Drosophila melanogaster: one gene and its partners. The gene in region 4 interacts genetically with the main gene of each other region. Each region holds a gene or a part of one and is shown on either strand. Other genes may lie near its edges.

What was found.
Region 1: of ap (region 4) and Kat60, changing one suppresses a phenotype caused by changing the other (phenotypic suppression), as found in Drosophila melanogaster (one study listed by BioGRID).
Region 2: of ap (region 4) and eya, changing one enhances a phenotype caused by changing the other (phenotypic enhancement), as found in Drosophila melanogaster (one study listed by BioGRID).
Region 3: of ap (region 4) and Dr, changing one suppresses a phenotype caused by changing the other (phenotypic suppression), as found in Drosophila melanogaster (one study listed by BioGRID).

Annotation. Positions count from the first base shown.
Region 1 is NT_033777.3:5,226,789-5,234,067, reverse strand, and holds Kat60 (katanin 60), read left to right. Parts: upstream 1-1,858; 5' UTR 1,859-1,999; coding exon 2,000-2,011; intron 2,012-2,754; coding exon 2,755-3,075; intron 3,076-3,442; coding exon 3,443-4,046; intron 4,047-4,239; coding exon 4,240-4,361; intron 4,362-5,231; coding exon 5,232-5,791; intron 5,792-5,877; coding exon 5,878-6,076; 3' UTR 6,077-6,779; downstream 6,780-7,279. Other genes in the region: Mms19, read right to left, coding at 1-275, 334-683, 894-1,277, 1,342-1,426; Vps37B (vacuolar protein sorting 37B), read right to left, coding at 7,154-7,279.
Region 2 is NT_033779.5:6,533,097-6,537,866, reverse strand, and holds the start of eya (eyes absent), read left to right. Parts: upstream 1-1,755; 5' UTR 1,756-1,966; coding exon 1,967-2,038; intron 2,039-4,770. UniProt on the Drosophila melanogaster protein: Tyrosine phosphatase thought to play a role in transcription regulation during organogenesis through its intrinsic protein phosphatase activity. The phosphatase activity was shown in vitro. Appears to function together with So and Dac in eye development.
Region 3 is NT_033777.3:29,554,631-29,559,426, reverse strand, and holds the start of Dr (drop), read right to left. Parts: upstream 3,042-4,796; 5' UTR 2,792-3,041; coding exon 1,582-2,791; intron 1-1,581. UniProt on the Drosophila melanogaster protein: Plays a key role in the specification of proneural and promuscular cluster formation. Required for the specification of dorsal and lateral muscle progenitor cells. Regulates development of peripheral nervous system derived from lateral neuroblasts.
Region 4 is NT_033778.4:5,723,787-5,728,617, forward strand, and holds the start of ap (apterous), read right to left. Parts: upstream 3,047-4,831; 5' UTR 2,074-3,046; coding exon 2,035-2,073; intron 1-2,034. UniProt on the Drosophila melanogaster protein: Required for the normal development of the wing and halter imaginal disks.

The DNA of each region.
Region 1 (7,279 bases), on a different chromosome or scaffold from region 4:
ACACAAACTAAGGCGATCCCGGTGGCAGGATGGAAGAGCCGCTGATTGACATCGCTGAGATGCGGTAGAATTACGCCCAGAATAGAGCTCTGGTAGCTGTGGCTTATATCCGGTATGTGAGCAGCTCTCTCCAGGAGCGCAGACAACGCCTTAAGGGAAGCTTTCAGTATCTCCTCATTGTCATTTCCTGGAAAAGTCTCTGTTTTCAGAGCCTGCCATATCTGATCGAAGTGCGGCTCCAGAACGGAAGGCGGGAACTTCACGGCAGCTTGGTGCTGTAACAATAAATAGCATGTATAAAAAGAGGCATTTCAAAATGTTACGTTTTCTTGCCAGCAGTTCTATGGAGTCCAGTTTGGCAACCAGCAACTCACTCTCCAGCTTTTCTATGGCCAGTACCACTGTGCCCTCAGCGAATTCGTTGTTGGCTACCAGGCAGTTAGTCAACTTCTTGGACAATTCATCACGGGTTATGGCCGCTGGATCCTGCTTGCTGGGATTAAAGTCGATTGGAAAGTAACACGCAAAGATCTCAAACATCTCTTCGGCCAAATGCAGCAGCGGATACGTTGACAAGAACTCGGGCATGAAGCTGAAAATGATGTCAAGGTTGCGGGGGTCACGCTCGCCGTCAATGGAATTGATCAGGCCGTAGACGAAGTCACCGGCCATCGCTTGCAGCTCTGTATCGGGAAGAAAATTGATTTGTTTGAGTTGTAATATTGTGTAATATTTTCTAAAAATAACGGAAATAAAAGGTACTAAGATTGTCGCAAATATCTGTTCGACTAGTTAAAATCATCTAATTATAACTTTTTTGCACACTGACTTGTTTAAATCGGATTAAAGCAATGTCAATGTATCTTTCATGCTAAAATGAAATCAGGGCTCACCGTCCTGGAAGTTTTCCGTCAAGTACTGGAAAATGTGGAACAGCTTGGTGCGGTCGCTCCGCGTCTGCGACTGGCAGGTGGTGTGCTCGAAGAATGACTGCAGAATCTGGGGAATCTGGGCGCGCGGTAGAGCTTTCATGTGAACCAGGGCGTCGATTCCATCGATAATGGCTGGCATTACGTTGTGATGGTCGCGCAGGCGGTCCATGTAAAAGGTGCTGAGGAACTCCAGCTGCCGCTCTTGCAGCAGATCCTGGGGCAGTGCTATCAACACGGCGGAGAGCAAGTTGGTTCCGGCCACACGCTCCTCCATGTCCGGAGAGGACAGGGCGAAGCCCAGTGCCTCGGCCAGAGCAGATATGTCATATGCCTTGGCGGTCAGATCTGGAGGAAACAAAGAATCTCTATGAGAAGGGCACATTCGACACGGATGCGGGTGTAAACCTGCCCTTGGCTATCTGTGTGGCGGAATTCACAAGCTTCTGGTCGCTTTTCAGAGCCTTTTCCAGGGTGGCGCGCGTGGGCGTTGTCATTGCGGCACCGTCGCTTGAGTGGTGTCTAAATTTAAATGAGTTTAAGCACGTTAAGCCGAAATGTTAAGAACCGATAACCGATGACTTGTCGTACTGGCCTTATCTATATCACAGCGATGCCAGACTGGTGTTACAGTAGTGCAAATGTTTTAGCGATTAATATAGCTTTTATTGCAGTGGCGCTCAGGGATGGTAATGTGTGGCTCGGAGACAAATTCTAGAACTGGAAAATATACTTACATATTGTATATTGATTTATAATCGATAGACACGATACGGAGATTTTCTTTTTATTTTCTTGTAATTCGTTGTAAATTTAGAAATATATTTTTAGCAGCTCTGGAAACAATCGATAGTCGCCGACTGTTGCACACAGGGAACGCAACAGGGTGGTCAAGTGTCCGCGCCGATGTATCGATAAGCCCCGCATCACCAGAGCACGCACATCACTAGTATTACAAACACAGGCAGGCAGCAGTTTATTTTAGCTACCGCAGCACCTTAAACTCTGAATTAAATAGTTTACGCATTCATTTTGCGCTCGGAACGCCGCGTAACAAAGCTAGTACACTAATGTCCATAACCGTAAGTCGCCCGCGAACTGCTCAGCTGCAATTGTAGGTGTGCGGCGGCGAGACGTCAGCGCTGCTGTTGTTGTTGCTCTTGTGGTTGCTGCAGCTGCAGACGCCCCCACATAGCTGGAAATAAAATAAGAAGCATAAGAATAAGAAATACGGTGAAGTGTCGAATGCAAAGTGCAGTTTGCTGTGTCCAGAGGCTTGCAATTAACTCAAATTCTATTTAGATCGCATTAATTCGACCCATTGTGCGCCCGTGTGCGTGTGTGCGAAAGTGTGTGTTGTGTGCCGCTGAAACCTGAGCTGAGTGTGCGTGTGTGTGTGCGAGCGTTAATTTTGTTGTTTTTACTATTGTGTTTTTTGTTTTTTTTTTTTTTTTTGCATACGACGATTTGAGTCGAGTTGAAAGAATCATTCAAAGCCAACAAGGTCGAACGCCTTATTCGGCTCATAACTACCTAATACATTTTCCAATCGGCATTTGGCCCACGTCCCGCCTTGGAGGCGGAATTGAAAATCGGAGCGCGTTGCGTTTAAATTTGGTGACAAGTCGGCGGCTGTGCGCCTGATAATTTATAATTAGCAGCTCACTTGGGTCGTTGCCACTGGCATCTTCTATTATTCGCAATTGTCGCCGGGTTTTCCACTTTATTCGCTTCTGGCTGGGAGGCGCACTTTCCATTTTTACCTGCAAGGCGAGCCAGCGAATGACGAAGTCGCTTCCGTTCTATTGTTCCCCTTCCCACCCAGCAACACTTGGAGAAACTCACGCACTCGAGCGCTTTAATTGGAACTAATCTCTGTCTCTCGTTTTTGGCTACAATGACGACAACCTGTTCCGATCGCCAGTTACTGCGAGGTGGCAAGCAAAAGACAACCACTTGCGTAGGAATGACCGTAATGGCCAAGACTACGTTTGAAGAAATATGCGAGAATGCCAAATTAGCACGGGACATGGCTCTGACGGGCAACTACGACTCAGCCTGCATCTACTATGAGGGCCTCCAGGGGCTGCTCGCCCGCCAGCTGAAGGCCACCGCGGATCCGCTACGCAAGGGCAAGTGGAGCATGGTAAGACATTCCTATCACCACCTCCAGATACTGTCAACTACCATGCCAATGAATGCGAATGGTGACGGTTATGACAAACAAAGGACTTAGTCATAACATCTTGTCAACGCCATTCAAAATTGCCCAAGAGGTTTTGTGTAAACGAGTTATCTAGATCGTTAACGTGCATATAAAGATTTAATTTAATCAGAACACTACCGAATGACTAAAATTTGAATTACAAAGTAATTTCTAGCACTACTGGCACAAAGTAACTGGCTAAAACTCCAATAGATCATAATAAACCAAGTATTTTCAAAAAGTTTAATATTTACCATACCGGACGATTTCATTGACATCATTTAACTAACTGATCTTCGATTTGCAGATCAACCAGCAGATTAGCCAGGAGCACGCCAAAATCAAGGCCATTCAGAGAACCCTACAAGACATCTCGCTGGACCTACAGTCAACCAAATTTGCACACAAGCTGCGACACCAGCTCAGCGAAGAAAGCACCACCAGTAAAGATCCATCTGCCTGGTTCAAGCCGGACCCCGACATTTGGACGCCTCCGCCCAAGGATCCAGATGTGTGGGGTCCGCCGAAGCCACCACCCACCACTCAGGCCGTTGGCCGAAGAGCCGCACCGAACAACCGCCGCACCACTCCGGCAACGCAAAACAGCCGCCCCAGCAGCACAATCCCGCAGAGCACTGCCCGGAATGGTCCGGCCTCGACACGCAATTCCCGCAACTCAACGTCCGCCACAGCACCGAGCGGCGGAGCACGCACCACCAATGGAAGGGCTGGCGGTCGCAAGCTATCCACATCGAACACCAACGAGGCTAGGGACGACGACTCCACCGCTGCAGGCAACAATGGCGGAGCGGCTGGCGATGGAGAAAACGGCGATCCGCAGGCCGCCCAAGAGGAAGAGCGCAAGTTTCAGCCCAACAACCACATCGAAGCCGAGCTAGTCGACATTCTTGGTAGGTGCCTAAATCGTTGCCGCAAGGTTTGCCTCGTTCAAAATTTGGTGATGTGCTAGTCTTATTTATTAAGCAAAGCTAATGCATTACTCTACTTGCTTTAAGATTTGTGGCTATTTCAAAAATGGTAGTAGTTATGAAAATTTGGGTCTAGTATAGCTACATTTATTACATGCCAACGCTCTCTTTTCAGAACGTGATATTCTTCAAAAGGATCCCAAAGTGCGCTGGAGCGACATTGCCGACCTGCACGACGCCAAGCGGTTGCTGGAGGAGGCCGTCGTGCTGCCAATGCTCATGCCGGACTACTTCAAGGTGCGTCACCCCCGCTGTTTGTTTTCTGTGAATCACATTCTGCCAAACGCTTATCTCGCGATGGGTCAACAAACGCGCTTTATTATAGTGCTCAGGGCAATGTGTATTTGATCAACTATTCTGAACTGTCACGAAATGCATCGCCTTGCAGCTTTATCCCTCTTAACTAGGTGGTGGAACTTGTCAACACATTCTACTTTTACTTGGGGCGGTTTAAAAGTTTCCATTGTTGAAATTATGCTGATTATGATGTACCTCTATCTATGTTATCTTATCAAACTATGTGTGCGTTCAAAAGAATATCGATCCATAATAACCTGTCGAAAAAAAATAAATAATTATGTATATATTATGTATATATATGGAATGCTGACCATGTGTTTCTAACGCCTTTAAGTCACATTAAAAATCACTGATCCAAACACCTGAGACTGAGCTCGATTGCTATGTTGACCGTGTTGTACCATATATGTAAGAATATTTGTTGTTTTCAAATATTTCCGTCCAACAAATATTTTCCCCATCTAAAATGTGGATACCATGAAATTTTGCGTGGGCGAAAGATGTTTGAAATGGGCATCAGAGAAGCCTACAGCACCATTTTTCGATTTACCATCTTACTGAATAAACAATAGCAAGAAAGATAGACTTAACGTGGATAGTAGATAATTAGATATTTATGTTTGATTGGAAGAAATGGTACTCACTTCTCCAATGTAGATTATTTAATTAATTAGAATTAGGCAAATGACACAGCCTAAAACAGTGGTTCAGATCAAAACAATCGGAAAGTATACAATTAATATATACTGAAAGTTTGTAAACATTTTAAAGCAAAAGTACATAATCACTTCTTGCTTTCTACAACAGGGTATCCGGCGACCGTGGAAGGGCGTGTTAATGGTGGGACCTCCAGGCACGGGCAAGACAATGCTCGCCAAGGCGGTGGCAACCGAATGCGGAACTACGTTCTTCAACGTGAGCTCGGCCACGCTGACGTCCAAGTACCGAGGTGAGTCGGAAAAGATGGTGCGGCTCCTGTTCGAGATGGCCAGGTTCTACGCGCCCAGCACAATTTTCATCGACGAGATCGACTCCCTGTGCTCGCGCCGAGGATCGGAATCAGAGCACGAGGCCTCGCGACGAGTGAAGTCTGAGCTGCTGGTCCAAATGGACGGCGTGGGCGGCGGAGAGGAACAGGCCAAGGTGGTCATGGTGCTGGCCGCCACCAACTTTCCTTGGGACATCGATGAAGCGCTTCGGCGTCGTTTGGAAAAACGCATTTACATCCCACTGCCATCGGATGAAGGTCGCGAGGCGCTGCTCAAGATCAATCTCCGCGAGGTCAAGGTGGACGATAGCGTCGATCTTACCTACGTAGCCAACGAGCTGAAGGGATATTCCGGAGCTGACATCACAAACGTGTGCAGGTGAGTTCAGAATACACTAATTTAAAATGGCGTAGTCAGTTCCAAATCATGTCAATGGAATAAAATGCGTGCTCTTCTTTTTCCAGGGAGGCCAGCATGATGTCGATGCGGAGAAAGATCGCAGGACTGACCCCAGAGCAGATTCGGCAGTTGGCTACGGAAGAGGTGGATTTGCCCGTTTCCAACAAGGATTTCAACGAGGCCATGAGTCGCTGCAACAAGAGCGTGTCCCGGGCAGACCTGGACAAGTACGAGAAGTGGATGAGGGAGTTCGGATCGTCATGATGGCGCTGCAGACGCGAATGGCTAGCGATTGTAGGAGTATATTTTTGAATAGCCTTAAACACGCGCTTAAGTCATTAAGCTTTTAAAGTGAGAACCGAACCGATCCGAGCCGAACGGAAGAGTTGAACATATTTTATATATAACATTTTGCAAATACGATACAATCTATATATTTACATATATACATTGAACCGGAGGCCGTTGGAATTAGAAAAGACTAACCGCTCTCAAAGAGGAAACACAAATGGAAAACTGAAATTGAAATTGAATTGCAATGAAGTCGAGAGATAGGCAATACGTTTATGTATACATAGCGAAAACCACCCACACACTCCATGAGCACAAACCTTCCAACAAATCGTTAACCCACAATCACACTATATGCAATAAGGAATCGCTTTAATCGCCGCCTAGCCTTGGCCTCATACTCCCACAATATGCACACTCCAATCCGTATCATTTTTTATCGAAAGTTTTTATTTTAACAAGAAATGTCCACTGTCTAATATTAATGTTAATTTTCGCTTAATTTATACTTTCACATATACATATATATCATAGTTTAGTGCAGGCAGAGATGTGTGTACCAGAAAGTTCCCTCTGATTTGCAATTAACCCACTGTAATCAGAAGATGAAACTGAAGCAATATGTACTTAAAGAGAGGATTCTGAAATTTTAAACAATAAAGAAGTTTTTAACTTTACGGCATTAAGAGTTGTGACTTTTTTGGGTGCTTTCTGCAAGGATAAATAAGGATAAAGGTCTTGCAAATGATGCTGATGATGTTATGATTTGATTATTATTACAATTAAATCACTGTTACGAAAATGCTGTGATCCCCAAAGAGAATTTATATCTAGATACTAAGCGGATGTTGCATTTGTATGACACAGCGGTAATTAATCTTTTCTAGAAATCAAGAGTCAGGGAAAAGCACTTTATTATGAAATCCAAGAACGTTTATCTGATGAAAGCACCCTTCGTTCACCGCTTACCAAATGTACAAACTTGCCTGCTGCAGACTGATGCGCCATGGCAGTTAATTCGCTGAGGACCAAGGACCAAGGACCAAGACCTCAGTACGGTCTGGATGGCGGTGGCATGGGCATCAGGGGACCCATGATTGGGTAAGGGGCGGAGCCCCCAGACGCGGGATAGAATCCGCTGGAGGGCACGTTTCCGTAGGCTGGCAGAGAAGTATT
Region 2 (4,770 bases), on a different chromosome or scaffold from region 4:
AATATCTGCAAATGCAGCGAATTGTGCGCAGATTTGTTTACAGAAGACTCTCCGAGTGGCAAACTGAGGGAAGACGGATTATCGTGGAGGGAGGAGCACCATGATCATCGTAGATATAATTGACGACATGTTGTCTCACGATCGTGCTAAAGCGATTAAAGCTAATTTAATGCCCGACTCGGAGATTCACTGCACCCAAAATGTATCCACCAAGAAGTGCACTCCCTCACTTTGAGGTCATGCTCGATTTTCTCTGTGGAAAGCCTTAACAAAATGCCATAATCAAATTTCTAGCTTCACTTTTGTTATTTCTTGTGGCTGAATTTGTTGTGGGATCGAATGGGCTCATTGTCGGAATTCCATTGCAATTCTATTGCATGTGTGCATGTCGCCTATTTACTTAAATGCACTTGTTTCACTTGCTCACTTGTAATTACATCCAGGCTTTTAAGTCAGTCTCTGTTGGGCCAAAAATCAAGTGTTGAATCAACATGAATTGTTTAGCACACGATTCAATTGTTTCGTCTCGACGGAGACGTATAAATAAATAAATACGAGACGGCCATGAAATATATATTTATTAGAATAAAAAATGTTAACCGCTATCGGTTTATGACAACTGTTTGTTTAATTGTAAAATATATATTCAGGAGAGGTTTAAAAGATATTTTACAAGTTGCCTACCTTAAAGCTTAACTCTTTTACTAGAATTTCATTTGGATGAAGTTTCAACACACTTTAAAATTTATGTGCTCAGTAATTTGCCAGAGCTGCCCCAATCAACATCAATTGGCTGCCATACTGTCTGAGCATTCTAATTCATTTAATCGAGCTCATTAGTGGCTCTAAACCATCATGTTTATGCTACCCAATTACCATCGGAAGTGATTCACTTCTGCATGGACGGAGAGATAGCCCTGTGATTTTGATTAGATGCCAATTTGTTTATGGCACTCACTAATCCGTCCACAGATCGGATATCCCATATACCATATACCATTTGCCATATTCCATATACCATGTCCCGTATCGGTTTGATTATGCCCAGCACACTTCGGCTCGTCTTACATGAGCATTTCGATTTTTGGGAGCTCCTTCTCTAATGCGTTACGGATCCATCGAACCCAATAAGTTTTAGGCGTTTTAAATTACCCGATATTCGCGTTGCGCGTTTTACGATTGCCATTAAATTTGCTGGCGGTTACCATTGAACAGGCCGAGAAACTCCAACTGATTAGCTTATTAATTTGTTTTATGTGCTCGAATGGTGGCGGAGTTGTTTCGAATTAATTTATTAATTTATGCGCATAGGAAAACCAACTTTTCAGTTGGCGTTCGCCCAGCGGCAAAATCTCATTCACAATGGGCATTGTTCGCCCGCATCCGAGAGATACTTACCAAAAAAAAAAACTAACATAATACAGAGAAAGAAACAACAAACTTTGAGGAAAAGTGGTTTTCGACCCACCCCTGTGCGATATTCTTGGCCCTTCGATTTGGGGAATGGGAATGGGCGGAGTCTAGGCGCATTCTCTGGCCGGCGGAGGGAGCGAGAGAGGCTGCTCCGAGTGCGCACCGCTCACACGAACTCGTTTCGAGTGCCGAGATACATTTAGCCGGTACGAATACGAATCCAAATAATCCGAGCCAGGGATTTCCACTCAAGCAGCGCCGCTGCCGCTTCGCTGCCGGCGTCGCATTGAGCCACAAAAGTCGGCTGTTTCGGTGGTTCAGTCGATTCGAGCCACTCAAAGCGAGCGCTACGGGAACGGTCGATCCGCCCGAAGTCGCAGATAAAAAACCTACCAGATACATTTCGTTCGTTCTGAAACGCTATAACTAAATATATATTCGATTTCAAAACATCGACCATACATTAACTACCTGAAACGGTCGAGTTCACTACCCCGCCACGCGTGTGTGTTTTTGTGTGTGTTGCAAGTGAAAGTAATCGCAAGTCCACAGAATGGTCACCCTAATGCCATACAACTACGCTGCCCCGCGATGCGGATTAATTGACAAAATGATCGAGCCAAAGGTAATCACATAGTCGTAGTGCTCTCCTCGCGAAGCTTTAAAAGTGATGTGGTTGAGATGGCTGTGCCGTCGGTTATTACTATTACTAGTATTGCTAGTGTTATGACTATGATGACGGCGGTAGCTTCCTTGGTGGTTGCGCCTTGTGGGGCTTCACCTAGTCGGGGAGTAGTATCCAAAAAGTGAAACTCCATGGCGAGATAACGCTTCGACTCTCATTTATCAAGCCTGGATGGAGTCTAATATATGTACGAACAACAGTTTAGGATGCTTTAAGCTGATCTATTGGTCGGTGTGATATCATAGCACACTTCATATATAAATCTAGTCCAGCTTGACAACTAAGTCGTGTTCAGATGCTATTCGATTTCATAAATCTAAGCGAATAAGTCGTGCAAATACACTCGAAGAAATACAATTTCATTGGGTTGCTTGAAAATGTATGGAATGTTACTCATTCACAGAGGATTATCAATTTTATAGACCCATCCTGCGAAGAAAAGCGCTTTAATGACTGCTCATTGTTGGGAAATCGTTAATGGGGATAAAGATTATGGGCACCTGACCAAAATTTTATTACAACGCATTAATCGGCTTAACTTTTGGCTGTGGGGTAATGAAGCAAACAAGTTGAGTCCCAAAAGGTCATTAAAAACGCTTAATAAAGTGCCGAAATAGTGACAAACGTTTTTCCAATTCGCTGCTGATGCATTTCTCCCATCAAATTACCAAAGCCTTTTCATTCACTGCACGCTTGCGATGCAAAGTCTGGCCGAGATTAGCGTAAAGTTCGTTTCCCGACGATTTAATGGAACGGCATTCTCCAGGCTTTTATGGGTCCCTAAACTACGGCTAAGACAAAGTCGGATCGAAGGAAACGTGACGAACGTGGAGTGGCCGGATGGCCGGATGGTTAAGGCGAAATATTAATAGAGCATAAATTACAGCTCTAGTGGGTCTCTGGGTGCCGGCTTTATGGGAATTTAAAGAGCCTGGCCCACAAAAGCCAGAGCTGGGCTACGGCATTCGTCCAGCGGCATTAATCACATTTTAATTAAGTTTAAGCCGTAATCGTAAAAATTAACACGCCATAATTCAACTGCGACAATACGCGCTGCATGTAATTTATGACAAAGAGAATTCACATCGGTGTGCGTGTGTGCGAGTGTGTGGGGGGGGGGGGGGCGGTGGAGGAGTCGAAATATTGATTATGGCCACTGCGATTGACACTTGGCGATTGTTGATTATACTACCACGATCGTGGCCCAAAACGTAATTAACGTGCCAAAGTGTTAAGGTGCATGGGATAGGTCCCATGCCATAGCAGCCCCTTCCTTCGATTCCACTTCGTCCACCAGAAGATACAAATTTTCCTCTTGTTTATTTTGATTTTTATCGCGGGGACTCGAGGGGGACTCAAGGGGGCTCAAGGGGTTTGTAGGGGTCTTCGGGGTCTTAGGGCCGGGTTAATAAAAAATTTGTCGCCGTCTTCTTGTCTTGTCTTTTGTTTGCCTGCCTTTTTGTGACCGAGTGTGTGTGTTTTAATCTTCTTCTAAAGCAGCAGAAGAGACAAAGAGATTACGATCACAGGAATTTCGTTAAAGATGCCCACAAACAGGTCTTTATACCACATATCTCCCACTCTTTTCCGCAGCTGGAACCAACCAAGCCGGCCCAACCAAAACCCCCCCAGATACTGATTCGAGTGTTGTCTGTGTTAATGTTTACGTTGTCAGCTTGTGCCATAAATTAGTTTAGTAAAAGGTTGCATTTGACTCTTCCCTTTCCCCCCCCCCTTTTTTTTGTTGGCCCCTCACCAGCTCACTTTTGCATACAACTTCGGACTCGAATTCGGTTGCTCGTGCAGCACGCAATCCTGCAGAATTCGCGACCCGAGATCGCAACTCCAATGCGCAGCTCATCGAAACGCTACCGTTCGGCAATCTGTCCGCTTGTCCGCCGCTGCGCATGCGCGTGTTCCCTTGGTCCGTCGACAAATCTGAGCAAACTGCGTCCTGCTGCCCCCCACCAGATCACCGGATGATGGACAGTGCGTGCGTGTGGTCATCTCGCCGGACGGCAGAAGCTGTCAACCGAAGCCGCTCAGCTTTCGCTCCCTTCCCGCCCTTCTTTTTTTGTTTTTTTTTTTTTTTGTTTTGAGGGACTTCTTTAGGGGTGGAGAGGCGCACAAATTCCAGCACCTGGGCTTGCCGCGCCCCTTAGTCCGCCTTCGATTTATCTGGCTTCCGTTCGATTTGCATACATGTCTTCTTAAGGGGCGTTTTTTTTTGACCATTTGTCAAAATCATTCTGGCAAAAGCTGAATTGTCAAAGCTTTATAAATATAAAACATAGTAAGTGGATGTAAAGGACGTTCTATTGTATGCCTAGAGACACAATCTTTCCTCGAAAGTCTGTATAGTTAAATGTCATCTTTGTTCCATCTAGCCATTTTGCATCCTTATCGAAATCCGCTGCCACCTGCTGCTTTTCCGAGCACTACCACCTCCCCCCCCCCCTTTCCGACTTCCCCTCCAAATGGCGCCGCACATCCGAGTAACAGTTGAGTTAAACTTTTTCCCACGCACAAGCTCGGGCAGCGAAAATCGCTTGGCGCAGCAGCAAATGGCGATTGCGAATTATGTAAAATTTGCTGTTTTCTTTCGCCACTCGCACTGGATAACCCAAATAGAGTTTCAGGCGGTGGAAGTGCCGAGCTCAGCAGGGCGATTC
Region 3 (4,796 bases), on a different chromosome or scaffold from region 4:
TTTATATCGATTTGTTGAACAGTTCCCTTTTGAAATATTTTGGAATTTATGAAAGCACTTTTAGAGATGCAGTTCTGGAATTTCATGTATTAATAGTTTGAATGAGGCGGTAATATGGTAATACTCGAACTAACCTACTTTAAAGCCCAAATTTCCTAATACAACACCCCATTTGAAGCCCTTTTTTTCAAAACACAGCCGACAGCTTTATAAAACAATGCTTTGTAGTGGCAAGAAAAACCCGAGCATATGCAGCAAAAACAGGAACAATAGTTGCTGTTCTGCATATAAAAAGCAAATTTACACTTTTTTGCCCACCGTTTTTGCACCGCCCTTTCCGAGTTTTTCGAATGTGTTTGAGCAACTTTAAGGAGCGGAAACGCAGAGTTCGCGATGGCCGAGTAAAGTTCACATGTCAGTCCGGCATCAAAGTGTGACTTGTCGAGTGTTTTCCCCGATTTTCCACCAGTTTTTCCCTACGACCCGCGGTGCTTTTTGTCCAGGAAATGCAGGCAAAGTGTGAACTGTGCATGCAGATAGAGATCGCCCAGTTAAACAGCCAGACTCGCTTCAATTAGTCTGGCTGGTCGGTTAGACAGTCCGCTTTTTACGCGCTTATTATTAGATTTTCCAATTCGGGAACGGTAATGGGGGGCTGGCTGGCTGTCAGACCGGAAAACACCGAAAAACGCCGCTGGCCAGCGAGTGCAATGAATAATCAGACGTGGCCAATTGAGTCAAATCAGAACCGACGCGACTATCATCAGCCATCAGCCATCATCATCATCATCATCATCAAATAATGGGCCCAGCGCAATCAGGCAGTTTTCATTGTTTTATTTAAGGCCCCGCAATAATTGCCACGCACTTTGACTACAAACTGCAGTCACGATCACTTCCATTCCATAGCCATGATGACGATGACGACGAGGTGGCCATGATGGAGCACCCGCAGCTCGCGTCCGACCAGGAGCGGAGAGTCACCATCGATGCCAATTAAGGCGAGGGGCGGCAGTTAATTGAATTAAAATGCGACACAAAATGGTGTAGATAAAGTTGCCACCGCACATGGGGCATAAAACAATGAGGGGTGGGGTGGGTGGTTTGAAATTCCTCCATTAAATAAATCGTTTTTGAATACACATCGCTGGCTGCTAATGGGGAATTTGCTCCCAAGCGGAATTCGCGTATTTCTATTGTTCACGGGTTCAGAAGTTCATGTTTATGGGTTTACAGTTAATTATAAATAAATATATGAAATGTAACTATATATACACTCATATTTACTTTGATGTTAAGGCTCTAAATTGAAAATATTTTCGAAAGAGAGTTGAGGTTGTTTTTATTTTTTTTGAAGTAAACCTTTTGAGTTCTATATTCTCTCCTATATATATTTTTATTTTCCCATTATTTAATTATGCCCATGCTGAATCCTCCATTGCAAATGAGTTTAAAATATCGCTTAGGACAGGACAGTTAAGCACATGTAACAGATAAGGTTTATCATTTCCCCTCTAGGAAGTACAAAAACCGAAAACAAGCTGACAAAAACCCCACAAAGAACTGGATAACGACACTTACCTCCACCGAATCCTGCTCCCGGAAACATGCCAGGCGGTCCGAAGGGCGGCATTTGTCTGGTTCCTGGCCACGGAACTCCACCGCCCATTCCCGTCCAGGCCACCGCCGCGGCGGCCAGTGCACTGAAGGGGGTCGGGCGGATGGGCACATGACCGGAGGCCAGGGCCGCCGGGGAAAGTATCGTGGATTGCATGTGAGAGCCCGGCGGCGGACCGTGCGGCGATTCCAGCGACTTGCCGCTGCCGTCGAGGCCGTCGGGCGTGGAGCGCGGCGAGTCGTCGGCGTTCATGTCCTCGATATCCACAATGGAGTCCTCCTCCTCGTCGTGATCGGCCTCGTGGTCCTGCAGCATCTCCTCGTCGTACTCCAGCTCGGAGTCCGTGTGGCTGCCCAGCGGCGAATGGCGTTCATTTTTGGCGGGAGTGGAGGCCACATTGCCCTGCGATCCCAGTGCGGATCCCAGTGGCGTGGAGCTGGGCGTGGAACTCGTGGAGGCGGGTGGCGAGTTGGCCCGGGCGTCCGCCTGCTGCTGCTGTTGGCGCAGCTGGGCGGCCATCGCCTGGTGCTGGGCATGTGCCGCCGCAGCCGCGTGGGCGGCCTGCAGCAAGTGGGCGTGGTGCGCGACGGCGGCGGGATGGAAGGTGTTGGCGGGAACTTGGGCGGCCGCACTGGCCGGCGGAGGCGGCGGCGTGCTGCTGGCCTGGGAGATGGGCGAGGTGGCCGCCGAACTGGTCAGGTTCTGGGGTCCATCCGCCGCCTGGTTGGGTGGCGTTCTGGGCCTCGTGTCCGCCAGGAGAGAGGCCACACTAAAGTTGCTCAGTCGGGAGGTGGTCTTGTGCAGATGGTGGGCCGGCGGATGCACTGCGGCCAGCTGGAGCGCCGCCGCCTGCTGCTGCTGTTGCTGCTGCTGCTGGTGTTGCTGGTGCTGCTGCAGCAGATGCTGCTGATGGGCCAGCAGCAGTGCCGACGGCGAGGTGGGACTGGCCAGGGCATTCAGGCCAGCCGGGTGGCTAGGACTCAGGTTGGTCAGGTTGCTGCTGGTCATGTTGCCGCTGCTCATGTTGCTGCCGCTGTTGCTGCCGCTGTTGCTACTGCTGCTGGTGATGATGAGGTTACCCGCGGGAGTGTTACTGCTCGGCGGCACCGTGGGACTGGTCATCGTCTGGCGCAGACCTGTAACTGTCATGCTCGCTGGGCTGAGCTTTAACATAAAGCCTTTCGATCGTTTGTGTAACTGTGGCTCGTTAATACTGTGCTTTAGGTGCGCCGGTTAATTGGTTCATTGAGACATGGTCTGCTGTTAATTTGTTTTGATTATCTTTCAATTAATGCGCTCGTTCGTCACACGCTTGGGAAACACAGACACACACTGTCACACGCGGCGTTTTGTATCTTTTCAGGGGCTATTTATTTCCAGAGAGAGACACGTCCTCTTGAGATCACGTCTGTTCTGCGACTGAAACTGTGGTCGCAGTTTCGGATGCACCGCTGCCTGCCACACAGATACTCACTCACACCGACGCACTCGACGATTGGTGGTGGGAAACCGGCTGTGTAGAGCGTGCCTCTCTCTCACTCCCGTGGTGGAGTGCACCGCGTGCGACACCATTTTTATTGGTTTCGAGACTAGCTCGCTCGCTCTTTTTTTCCGGTGTGAGTCTTGTATTTCTCCACTTTTCTGACTTTTGTTCCGCCTTCTTTTCTCTTTCGCTCTCGCTTCAGTGTGGTGAGTTTGCCGCACTCTTGCCGTACAGACAGAGATGGTGTAGCTGCCCCGCAGTATAGCCGTCCCTGTCGCACGCCTAATTATTATTGAATAATTCAATCTTCAAAGCGTTTTTCCACTTTTTTTTCGAGCTGCTGCGCGTATTAGCATTTTATAACAAGCAGCGGCGGCAAACGCCTGTCCATTTCCACTTTGGTTTTCTGGCTTTTCCTTCCATCTCCATTTTCCCTCTATCTCCCTCTTTATCGTTTATGACTTCATTTGGCCAAATTGGCGTGATTTTTTAAGCTTTATGTACGCCTAATATGTACATATATATGTATGTATATATAGACCAGGCGGTTTTTCAATTTTAATTGGCACTCCTACATGTCCTTAGCGTACAAGAACAATATAATAAATAATAAGCCCATCATTATCAGGGCCCCAAAAGCATCAAATGTCGGGTGGAGCGGCATTATCGCAAAGCTGCAATCTCGGTCAGGAAATTATGTTTTTTCTTCCCTTTTGCTCCACCTCAGGAGATAAGCCATAAAAATCGGATCGGTCCACATAAATCGAACGTCCCGGGAACCCGGCCGAATCAATCACATACATATAAATGTGAAATATGCAGGATTATATAGAATTTTGCCAACCCCCATAAGCTCCATAAATTGCAAGGTTGGCGGGTGGAGTGAGGGAGGGAGCGGGAATACCGCACCCTTTATAATTCTCGCTCTACAAATTAAACTCATTTTAAGGATTATTATGTGAAATTGTTGGCTTGAAAACTTTTGCCAGCCATTGTTCAGCTGCTCCTTTGTTTTCCGCTGCTCGAAGGACCAAGTTGTGAAAATGGGAAATGGGCGTCGGATTGTGCGGGTTCGCTCGGCTTTTCGGGCGGCAAGTTGGTGAAAGGATTTTAATGACAATTGCCAGTGGGTGGAAAATAAAGAGCTCAATTAGAACAGTTGACGAATGGCTGTGTGGTTGCCTTAATTAGTTGCAAACGATGCTGAAAATGAAACGACTCTGCATGATTGGGGAAATTCTAGCCAATTAATTTGAGTTCTTGCCTAAATGGGTTGGGTGAAATTTAGAAATATTTTTATATAATTTCTGAACTTTTTTCAAACTCTTTCCGAAATCGTTTTTAATTACACTTAAAAGAAACCAAGACAGTAAACTCGTTTATGAACTTCTCACATTTCCCAGCCATTCAATTAACACTTGATATACCTCTTACCACTTTTCCAACGCCCCTCTTGACTGATTAAAATTTTTCCAACTTCCCAAAACTTGAGCTCTTCATTACGATGCCCGGCAATTCCGCTTTCTTTTCAATTAAACATTTCGAAATGGCGGCAAAATGCGATGAGAGGCCCCTCAGCTCGTTAATATCATTGTCTGCGTCTCGTTTTCTATACTTTGTGCCGTTGGCATAAACAATTATAGCCAATTACAAATATTAATTTCTCAGGCCAAGCACGTCGAGCGTTTCTTCTTT
Region 4 (4,831 bases):
CATTAAAATTGAGTTTTTGTAGAAAAAATTGAATTGAATTAAAATTGAGTTTTGTAACAAACTTAACAATAGGACTTATTGATGTTTCCGATATTTTGATTACGGGCAAATGACAGCTACAAAAAAATGTATTTGAATTCGTTGTCTATTTCTCGCTATTGGATATCGGTTACTCAGCTAGGCAGACTGCGAAAAATAAATTTCAATTTTTTTGCATATCGAAAGAAATTGGAAAAAAAATTAAGACGAATGATAAGTTAGAAAGGGTGTGTTAAAAATTTTCTTGGTATTACAATACATACATAAAACGGAAATATACCAAAACATTTTCATCAAGATGGGCGTGGCCGCTTTGGGCTGTTTGTGCATGTCAAAGAGTTTTTTGGCAAATCGGTAAAAATTTAAAGACTTATAAAACATGAAAAATATCAAAACATATTTCAAAAGCGTATTTCTTGGCGGTTTAAATTTAAATTTTTGTTCATTTTATTCACCGATATCTAACGATATTCCAGCAAAATGATGAAATGTTGCGTTTTCATTCCCACTAGCTGAGTAACGGGTATCTGATAGTTGGGGAACTCGACTTTTATATATAAAAAGAAATGTACAAAAATAAAAATTTGAAAAAAAAAACTCTAAAATTACTTTTATAAAATTTTTAATAGTCCGAATTTAATCAATTTCGTAACTTGATCGATGTGCCGAATTTATCAGGTAAACACATCATCAACACATTTTCGAATACTTTAGGAAGAAAGAATTTTGAGATATGGGAGTTTGTTTTAGTGGACTTGGAAATACTTTAAAACGGCAGTACAATATGAATGTTCAAGACTAGGTTTCAGCTTTTACAATTCCTAAAACGTTTAAAAGGACGGACGGTTGGACGAATAAAAGAACGGACAGGCGGACATGGCCAGATCAACTCGGCTATTGACCTTAATCAAGGATATCCCTTATAAGGGTCGGTAACCCTTCCATCTGTCTGTTACATACTTTTCAACGAATGTTTCATACCATTTTACTCTTCCAATTTATTTACGATTTTCCTATTCTTATACAATACAATCTTATACAATTCTTGTACAATATATAGATGTGGTATATATAGACTAGAATTCGAATACTCGTACATCTCGATTTACAGTAATCGATGACATTTGGAAAACATACAAAAGATGGGAATTAAAACAAACACACAGATTTCAAACACCAAAGTTGTAAAGTAACAAAAAATTGTTTGCATAAAGTATAAGGAATGCGTTATGTTTCAAAATAGGAATAGCAATTAAAAATGACAAAATCAAAAATAGGTAAAAGATGTTCATGTAACTCATCAAGGCAATTCGTTCTTTTCAAAAAAATGGTACAAGAATATCTCTGTGTGGTAGAAAATGCCTTATTCGCGTTAAAAATTAGTATTTGAAGGTCAATTGACTACTATTAAAATATATCAAATTGGTATATATTGGCACACGGTGATTATTCTCTAAAACTGAATACGTTCGCGTCGAATATCAGATATATACAAAAATTTCGTAAAAACGTACATATTTGTTTTACCTGTATTTTGATTTCTACATATCTATTAATTTTTTTGCACGACTATGCCGCCCAATTTGATTGTATATTGATTAGTACGACTATCATCAAAAATCTGCCTTCTTAAACATTAAATGATTCTAACCTAAGTTAGATGAATAAAAATTAAGGCAGGGAATCACATTGAAATTTTGTAACCGCGTTCTACAGCAATGTTTCAACGAGCGAACTAGCCACTGATTGAACACTTCTGGGAACTGTTTTTAATCTGAAATGCCCAAGCGGCTTTCTTATCGATATTGAGTGGGGCTGTCTGTTGATAGGCAAGCTTTCAGTCTGGTATTGATAACTCCGAGTAACCCAGGCTCGGATCAATATTAATCACAAAGGGCAGAGTTTGGGTGAGCTGGGACGGACTGGTGGATGACTTATTTTTTAGTCTTATCGCTGGTAACTTTGGATTTTATGTGCTACGGCGGCAGAACTTACCCAATGCATCACAGGGCGCTCCTCGGTGCAGACGCCCATGTGCGTCTTTTGGAATGACACGAGGTCTATTTCCAAGGATGATGTCCGTCGGTCGTGTTATGTTTGTCGTTGTGTAGGCTGTGCGTTGTGTCTTGCGAGCCTTATGCCTCCTTAAAAGGGCTGCGGTGCTACGTTGGTCTTGGGTAATCCTCTACACCCCGGCTAGATGTGCTATTGGACACTTGACACTGGCCACGATTAGATGCCCGGCTAGGCTCGCCGGTAATAAGTGTGCGCACAACTTGATCTATTACTTTGCGGACATGCATCACTTCGGCGTTGTCTTAGAGATTGACACCATTGGCTTGCCTTTTCTTATTGCACAAACTACGATTTGAATGCCGCTTTTTTTAAACTTTCTCCTTAGCACCAAGGTAATATAAGGAACATAGGGTCACACACTCACTAAAACACTTGACTCGGCGGCAGGTAGGATATTTGTATTGATTAGAAACCGCCCCTGTATCTCGAGCGCAAAGGCGTTTTCGGACCGCTGACGACCACCGGTTAGCGTAAGAAATCTAAAGTTAATTTATGACATTAATTTACGAGACAGCGCGAGAATGGCACATCAGATCCAAATTGAGTGGTAAAGGTCGGCCTTTGTCGGGCTCTTCCTACGACACTCGACGATGCCTGTTACTGATAAGGCATTAGAGACAGAGGCGCGTATGCGTATGCGGCTGTGCTCCCTTGTGTTGTTGTTTATGACCGGGCAGGCGATTACCGATCCAACTTCAGTTTTGTATCCGTTTCGCCAACTCCCTGTTTCTGTGTCGATTCTCCTTCGATCCAGTTCTGGCAAACCGAAACTACAGCCGAGCTCAAGTCAAAACAAAAATCGAATACGCGCACCGCTTCCAAAAACAAAAACCGACTCAAATTCGAAACTCGACTACCGACTTTGGTCTGCAGCTGATCTACTCAAAATCGTGAGGACAACCAGCCGTCGCAGCTGAAAAACTGGGAATGTTTGGACGCTGTGCGAGCGCAGCGCCAGAAGCCAAAAAACTCCACCGCCCCGTTCGCCGTGTGTTTGCGTGCGTGATGTGCGCGCGCCAGTGTGAGTGAGTGCGATGTCGCGCATGAGCTGCCATCCTGCTTGCACACACGCTCATTCCGCAGCTCTCACGTAGTGGCAAATGGCGGCGCTCTCAGCTGATAGCGTCAGTAGCTCGTTCCCGCTCTAGAGCACAGCCAGTAGACGAAGAGGGCGTGGTGTTCTATCCGCGCTCTCGCACCAGCCGAAATCGCCTCCCCACGCACCGCCCACCGGACAGTTGGCCGGCTGCAAAACGTGAATAAGGCAGCGGTAGCAGCAGTCAGGAGGAGTATAAGCTGTGCGCCAGACGCCACATGAATGAGGATGGACTCCAGACTCGAACTGGAAGCTGCGAGCGGAGTCCGTGACAGGAATTCCAACTCGCAGAGGACGAACAGTGGTCTGAGGACGCACAGGGGAACGAACTCTCACACCAGCGGGTCTTCGGTTGACTCTGCTGATTCTTTAGTTGTGTAATGAAAAGATGCATGGTGTCTATATATGCCGTCTTCATGCTGAAAACATCATGCAGAAAAGTTGTAACTAACTTACTGAGAGCTATTTATTGTGTTTTCGTATGCTGACGCTATAAATGTTGAAAGAATATAGGTTCGTTTGACAGGTGTATTTATAATTCTCAACCAGTTCAAACGCTACCAGCACTACGCCCAAGTTGTCGCCTGCTTCCAATAAGAACTGTCATCATAGAACCTTGCTGTCACTTCTCCTTTAATTCCGCACAAGCTTGAAACAAAGTGCACACAAATCTCCAAATGGCTTAGGGAGCAGATTTAACGTTAAATACTTTTATTGCAGTTACAGCTATAAATATTCAGCTTTTGTGGTATGCATTCACTATGATTCCACAAATGTTTGACATTTTGAGTGTTTTGCCGGTTGTAACTTACATATATTTGGCAAGTTTTGGTTGAGGTTACGGTTACATTTTAATAATGTAAAATATTTGCCATTAACTGCAATGCATTTTCAGAATTTCAACCAGCTTACGTTGATTCAATCGTTGAAAAAGAAATTTTTTTAAGTGTAATTGTTAATATACTTCTGCTGTTACATACATAAGTTCGCCGCTGCTTTTTGAACTCTTCGCAGAAAGTTTTAAAACATGTATTACGTATTTGAAATGTTTGTGCGACTTAGCCTTCGCATTTAACTTTATTTTTGGGCAAAATGTTTCACCTCGTTGTTGCTATTGTTGCTTGTTGACTTAAGAGGGCTTTCAAAGAACCCCGGTTAAGTCGGAACTGATTGGGTGGATTGGTTGTGGACGTCGGCACAGATTTTGGGTCCTTATTCCTTACGAATATACACAGCTGAATTCTCATGATTTTAATATTGACAAGAGTAAATGCGAATACATGCAGTATTTTCAGACCATTATAATTGGTACAGTGCCTCATAATAATTTGTTTATAGATTCTTTTAAATTTTACATCTTTTTTTATTGTAAACAGGCCCATCTTACAAAAGTGCGTAAAATATACTAATACATTATAAGAGATGGGCACATAAGGACAAAATAACGGTAACAGTAATCATTGGTAAAACATTGGTGTATAAACCGATTTGATCTTTAATAATTGTAGATTTATGTATAATAAACGTTAATCATGTTATGTGATTATTAGAAAATATAACCATCTCATCCCTCTGTTAGAATTCTACTCTACAATACGTAATAAGGGTATACTGAATTCG